Linked DNA regions of Schizosaccharomyces pombe. The protein of the gene in region 2 binds, or shares a complex with, the protein of the main gene of each other region. Each region holds a gene or a part of one and is shown on either strand. Other genes may lie near its edges.

The links.
Region 1: tfb5 (region 2) and tfb1 share a complex: the UniProt entries of both Schizosaccharomyces pombe proteins name them as parts of the 7-subunit TFIIH core complex.

Annotation. Positions count from the first base shown.
Region 1 is NC_003424.3:3,520,502-3,524,258, forward strand, and holds the start of tfb1 (transcription factor TFIIH complex subunit Tfb1), read right to left. Parts: upstream 1,889-3,757; 5' UTR 1,870-1,888; coding exon 1,824-1,869; exon of another isoform or gene 1,787-1,823; coding exon 1,700-1,786; exon of another isoform or gene 1,655-1,699; coding exon 992-1,654; exon of another isoform or gene 947-991; coding exon 763-946; exon of another isoform or gene 706-762; coding exon 162-705; intron 119-161; coding exon 41-118; 3' UTR 1-40. Other genes in the region: SPOM_SPAC16E8.18 (uncharacterized protein), read right to left, coding at 2,149-2,472; protein Png3, read right to left, coding at 2,635-3,143, 3,424-3,495, 3,543-3,597. UniProt on the Schizosaccharomyces pombe protein: Component of the general transcription and DNA repair factor IIH (TFIIH) core complex, which is involved in general and transcription-coupled nucleotide excision repair (NER) of damaged DNA and, when complexed to TFIIK, in RNA transcription by RNA polymerase II.
Region 2 is NC_003423.3:2,807,831-2,811,153, reverse strand, and holds tfb5 (transcription factor TFIIH complex subunit Tfb5), read right to left. Parts: upstream 1,281-3,323; coding exon 1,074-1,280; 3' UTR 615-1,073; downstream 1-614. Other genes in the region: SPOM_SPBC32F12.12C (golgi membrane protein involved in vesicle-mediated transport), read left to right, coding at 1-82, 205-405; glyceraldehyde-3-phosphate dehydrogenase Tdh1, read right to left, coding at 2,507-3,323. UniProt on the Schizosaccharomyces pombe protein: Component of the general transcription and DNA repair factor IIH (TFIIH) core complex, which is involved in general and transcription-coupled nucleotide excision repair (NER) of damaged DNA and, when complexed to TFIIK, in RNA transcription by RNA polymerase II.

The sequences.
Region 1 (3,757 bases), on a different chromosome or scaffold from region 2:
TTTTACAAGCACAATTGAGTTTCCAAAGACATTATCAAACCTAAGCAGGAGGATAAGACATTCGTCTTTGATACTCCGAGATTGACGTATCAATAGAAGTGAGCGTACAGGATACCAACTAATCCTAGTTAATAATCAAAATCTCTACAAAAAAAACTTACCTCATAAACCAGTTTTGGATCAACGTTTTGTTCCTGAGCCTGGCTCGCAATTGCCTCCACCCTTTTTTTCGAATTTAACAGAGCATTCTGAAGGGGGGCCATCGCCTTCTTGTCCGGGAAAGTTGTATTCAACAAGGCATTCCAAAATTGATGCAAAAATTCTATCGTAACGGTATGGCACAAAACAATTTCATTTTTTATGTCAATAGGTAAATTTGATGCAGTGCCGTGGGTCTCAAACTCATGCTTTTCGCGCATACTCTGAGTAAGCTGCATAGCGGCTTCAGCCAAAGAGTCAGAATCATGTTCAATGTGATTTAAGCTTATCGAATCTTCCTGGTATAAATGTTGAAGAGCTTCCAATGAAGGCAAAGGCTCTAAACCAACTTGATTTTTTGAGGGGACAAAATTATTTTCCAATAACTGATCTTGACCTTTGATTTTTAAGACAACTTTAGAGTCACTGGCTTCTTCTTCTAAATCGTGAAAACCAGATTCTTTTAAGTATGTTTCTTCATTTTCGTTGTTAAATCGTTTAGAGTTTCTACAAGTTGTTAGGCATACCGAAGCAATAACAATTAATAAAACCGAATATACATACCCCAAACTTTTTTCCAAAAGTCTTTCCGAAAGCTGATTGATGTTTTTCATAAACGGTAGAGCTTCTTTGTCAATTCGCATAGTGATATCAGGTCTAAGTTCTGCTATTACATTTGCATTTTGATCATTTCCTTCTAAATCAAAGAGGTGCGATGCAATAGGTTCATCCGATACTTTGGTTACCTCTTGAAAATGTTAGAAATGGAATTCATCTAGGTTGGAGAAATTACCTTCATTATCTTTTAAATACTTATCCATTATATCATCAGAGGGATCCATTGGTGTAATTCTGTCGCCACGAAGCTTTTTACAAAGCTTGGAAAGGAAAAATCTACTCCAAAACTCTCCTTCTGCTAGAGGAGGCACATGCTTGTCATATACCTTTCGGAGCAATGGATGTTGTTCAAACATATCGTGAATTTGCTGGCCGGTAAGGGAAACTTTCATTTGGTTGTCCACTGTTTTAGGTTTAATAGTAGACAAGACATTATAAGGACCACGCTGCTGAGACCTTTCTACAGCATGAGCGCGGAGCAAATGAAGCCTTGTGCTCCAAAATTGCTCATTACTTAAATGTCCCTTCATAACTGCTTCCTTAAATGTTTGTAAGAGATCGGGATTGTTAGTAAGCAAAGACTCTTGTAAGTCGATGTCCTTTTCTAGATTCGTAGAATTTACACGATCGACATTGGCTCCTTGTGGTTTAGATTGAGAGCCTTCCCTTTGTCTTTGTATCGCATTTCTCAACTCATTAGTAATCATATCACAATTTTCTCTGGCATTAGGAGTACCGGTGAAATGAAATACTAAAGAAGTGGGATCTTCACCTTCCTTTACTACTATAAAAACACGAATCATAACTTTTGGATTAGACGCTGGAGTAGTTTGAAGATCTATCAATCTGTCAGTAATCTCGAAAATGCAACAATTATTATTACTCGAAATTGCATCAAAAGCAATATCTACTGATGGTGTTGTTTTCCCTTCCCCCGTCCATTTTAATCTACTATCGATAGATAATACGCCTGCATGTTAGAATCATTGATTTAATTGTTATTTTACCTTGTTTTTTTCTGAATATGGCTAATGCTTCTACCCTGTCTCCCATCAGATATTTTGGTAGTTGTGGAATACACCGCTAGTCTTTTACGAAATTATCAAGATTTGTTAGACACAGGATGAACATTGGAAACTACGAAAATCATTAGAAAAATAAAAGTTTTGAATGGTTTCTTGATGTCCCAAATCATATACACTTAGATTTTGGGTAAATATATCCTCATTAAGTTGAGCTATGAACATAGGTAACCTATAAGAGACAGTTATCTAAAACTATAGCCCTGTTTTATTTTTAAAAAAATACAATATGAATTAATCATATACGCAATCAATCCGACCCTTCAGAGCAGTAGACAAGAGTGGTTGTTGTTCCATAAAGTACAATGCGTTTATCCCAGGTAATACGATATATCTCAGCCAAAGAGAAAGAACCAACATGTGAAAAGTAATAAACTATCACTACTAAAAGTTCAAAAGATTCGTAATGTCCGCCAAAAAACTGATAGTGGCTACAAATAGAATTTGTAGAGTAATTCAAATGTCTAAATACGTTCCTTTCTAACATAATTCCTGGTAGTATTATCAAGTAATTGTTTCCAAAACATGCAAACTCTTTAAACGTAGCATTAAGTATGAAAGAAGTTACCTCCATTCGAATCAGTATGGAAAGACATGAGTTTATATATGTTTTCAAAGTGACTTCTGTTGAATGACTAGAATTTAGTAGCTAATCCCGGATAAACTATTATTAGTGTATTTCAATTAGAAAAACAAAAAAGCAAGAATTTTAATAATATAAGGCTTTACGTAAGTTTCAAGATTTATTGTAAGAAGAAACGTTTGCACTGCTCTCTGAAGAATAGGGAGAGAATTGTTTGATGTCGAGGTCTTCATTTGTGGTCTCGGTTAATTCCTCTGTCTCTGGTAGTTTACCAGAATCCGTGATTATTTGCTTTTTATCTCCTTCCTCCGATGCGTTTTCAGCTGCTAGCAATTCTTTAGCACGGCGATTCCTTAAATTGGCTCTCCGCCGGGATGCTCTAATAGGTCTCGAAGTTTTTTGCTCTTTTATAACCTCTGGAGTGAAAGGAATAAAAAAATTTGGTAATTTCATTTCCATCTTTTGATAACAGTGTTCTAAACGTAAAACATTACTATGAGTAATTGCCTCTGCATACATTGCAATGTGGGATTTTTTTCGAGTTTGTACATCATCGGATTTTAACAGTAATGATAAGTTTCGAGCGACTAAATTACGACGTTCAACACTAGTATCTCTGTTAAGAAGGTCATCAATTGAAGAAAGAGCTTGTGAATACACATCTGAACATGTTAATCATTTTAAATCAGAAAAAGGCAAGCTCTAGATAGGCAAGTTTTGATAAGAACAACATAAACTTATTATAAGCCTCAGTAGCGTTCAAGTCCTTTTGAATAACATATTCAAGGTTCAAACAAGTCCTAAGCAGATTGATTAAACATTAACAAAGAAAATCAACACCAGAACGGTTTCACTAGTAATCTTTCATTTTTTTGTTTATTATCAAAACCTTCACAGTTGTTCAAGCAAAAAATCCCAATCTATAATGCCACTATCACTTACCCTTTAGTTCAGCCTCTAAAAAACGGACTTCCGTAAAATTTTTGGATAAATCACCCGGTATAGCTTCCAATGCTAAATAATGTAAGAAAATTATTTATTTACACATGTTCATTTATTACCGTCAGCAAGTTGTATAAGAAGATCCAAGTCATTTTCCTTTTTTGGTTTTGCCATGGCTGACGACTTGTCGATTATATACAGCTATTCATGAGGATTCTTTCTAGTTTGACTTTTATTACTTGCCCAAGGTTAGCATTGCTTTTTGCTTCCTTTTGTTTACGTCTGTAATATAAGTGCAATCGAACCAAAGAATCTCGGTTTTCCACTTATAAGG
Region 2 (3,323 bases):
TCCTTTCCTTTCTCGTATTTGCCCTGTATCAGACAAATTCCAGGCTTTTACAAATGCTTTTGCTAGCAATTATTACCGTGGTGTAAGTTGTTATAGTTTCTTTTAAGAAAGGCACACAGGGGAAAAAGCATGCCTCTGGATATTTTTAATTCCTTTGTTGCCTTCCTGCTGTCTTTTACATACAGTGTTTATTAACTCTTTTAGCTTGTCTATTTTATATTTTCCGTGGTAACCTTTCTCAGTTGCATCTTTATGGCTACTAGTCTTATTGCCACCGGCATTGTGCTCGCTCTTACTGGTTTATGTTACACCTTTGCCGGTATTAAAGGTCAGGCTTTTACTTCAAGTTCCACGCTTGGTGGAACAGGTATCACGACCGAAACACCTCCCAGCACTATGGTTTAGAATATGCAAAATTGATCTTTATTGATCTTTTTCCTTGTTCATTTGTTTATAGGACAAGCATGAAACTATGCCTTTTCCTTGTTGTATGTTCTTCCAGTTCCCGGTGTTGAAAAAGTTATCACGCGTATGAACTGAACTATCTTTCTAGAAACACCACCAAGTTTCAATTAGGAATGCATAAAAATATCGTTAGACAAAGAAGAACATTTCTCTTATTATACATATTAATTATATAGATAGTATAGTATATTCAAATAGTATAAACTTTCATTCAATACTAAAAATTAAATAAAGACTTGCAAGCAACTACTGAATAGCTCGGCGTAGTTAACAATATATTCAAAACTTATTTTCAAAAAATACAAAATCAGCTGGCTCCTTTCATAATTTTTGCCCATCGGTACACGAGTTTTGGGTACTGTTATGTAATTTGACACAAACGTCAAGTCATTAAAAAATAAACCAACCTTTTCACCCATATCCAAATAAAAGGTAGAATTAATTTCTTTTTTGCATTATTTTAAAATTTTTTTACAATTTAAAATTGAGAAAATGATCATAGATCGTTGACATTGAATGATCCATTAATCGTACAATATTAGGTTCGTCCATCGACTGAAACATTCAGTTCATCATCCAAAGAAAACTTTCGTCATACTAATCTCTTCTTACTCTTCAACTTGATATGTATTTTCCTCAAGGCGTCGTTCTAACTCTGCTTTCACCTGTTCTAGTCGACTTTCATTTACTAACAATCGTTCTTCATCGATCTCTTCGATAACGATACCAGGAGACTGTTCGTCCATGTTCAAAATCAATTGCTTAACGGTTGGGTCACATTCAACCAAGAGTAAGCCTTTTTGTGCGCGTGGCATTGCCTCAAATTTGGTGTCTGCCAGCAGAATCATGGCATGCTACAAGCTCCTTAAGCCACAGGTATCAAGTTACCCATGATCGTTGGATGCCGAATGTAAGAGCAAACAAGAATAAATATCATGCAAGTTTGTTGTGTTAAAGATGGTAATGAATTTGATTATTATGATTATATGCAAAAACAAATTATTTATATGAATAAAACAAGTTGAGGTATTTGAGATCAGCAAAAATTGAAAAAATGATATGACCATTTCGGAAACCTTTTGCTACCATTGCTCATTCCATCCAGCCTCATACTTTTGTCTTAACGGACATATGTATTTTTAGATTGACAATAAACATTTTCGTTTTTGTTGATTAACATGTAATCATGTGATGCGCTAGTAGCGTACACAACTAACATAGCGATGAATTGTTTGTACTTTACAGTGGGTAAAAATTTTTAAATTACAAAACCGACTTCGGTTTGAATAAAGTCTAAAGTGTGCATTGGGAGATCAACTAGTTCTCGGGATGCAGACGGAAAAACAGTAAAACAAGCTCTTCGCGGTACAAGTGAAAAAGATCAAAACGGGCGTTCATGCTTAAGTGCATCTTCATATTAAACTTAAGCTAGCGAAATGGGGGACAGTGGATGCCTCCTACCTAAATCCATCAGTAAAGTAACACCGTCCCCACAAATGCGACTCACCACCAAAGCAATAATATATAGTATAAATAAGACTTTGACATAATATCCTACAAGGAAACTGACAAAAAAAAATTCACTTAAGTTGACCAAATGAAAAAGAGATTACACAAGACTACAAAAGAAGATCATTTACAAAAGGAGACAGGCAAACTATACGTATCACAAACCAAAACGAAAAAAAGTATTTATCAAAATCATAAAATTTATTTATAAGTATTTATAAGTTCAAAAACAAACGCTCAGCCATCTCATCACTGCAACAAAATTAAAAAAAATATATGCAACAATGAATGAGAAGGAGGGTATCAAAGAACAGAGGAAATTTGTAAAAAAGTCATCCATCTATTTATTCACATAGAGTGCGCGTCCACAAAAAAAATGCGAAAATCTAAAAAAGAAAACTCCCGCACTGCAAACGACAACGACTCCTTTGTCTAACATAAAGAAAAAACGGGGAAAACAACTCCAAAAGACTTTCCTGCATTGCCTTTAAGCACCCACCCGACGTTTCTTAGCATCGGGATGATTAGCTAGTTAGTTGTCCTTGGCGGCAGTGTAGGCAACCAAGTCAACGACACGGCGGGAGTAACCCCATTCGTTATCGTACCAAGAGACGAGCTTGACGAATTGAGGAGAAAGTTGGATACCGGCAGAGGCATCGAAGATGGAGGAGTGGTTGTCACCGCAGAAGTCAGTGGAGACAACAGCGTCCTCGGTGTAACCCAACACACCCTTCATGGGGCCCTCAGAGGCAGCCTTGATGGCGGCCTTGATGTCCTCGTAGTTGGTAGGCTTGGCCAACTTGACGGTCAAGTCAACAACGGAAACATCGGGGGTAGGGACACGGAAAGCCATACCGGTAAGCTTACCGTTAAGAGCGGGAATAACCTTACCGACGGCCTTGGCGGCACCAGTGGAGGAGGGGATGATGTTGGCGCTGGCGCCACGACCACCACGCCAGTCCTTCTTGGAGGGACCGTCAACGGTCTTTTGGGTGGCAGTGGTAGCGTGGACAGTGGTCATGAGACCCTCCTCGATACCGAAGGTGTCGTTGATGACCTTGGCAAGGGGAGCCAAACAGTTGGTGGTGCAAGAAGCGTTGGAGATAACCTTCTCAGAGGGGTTGAACTTCTCCTCGTTGACACCGACAACGTACATGGGGGCGTCCTTGGAAGGAGCAGAGATGATGACACGCTTGGCACCACCCTTCAAGTGAGCAGAGGCAGTCTCTTGAGTGGTGAAGACACCGGTGGACTCGATAACGTAGTCAGCACCAGAGGTAGACCACTTGATGTCGGCGGGGTCACGCTCGTTGTGGACATCGATGGCATTGCCATCAATGACGAGCTTA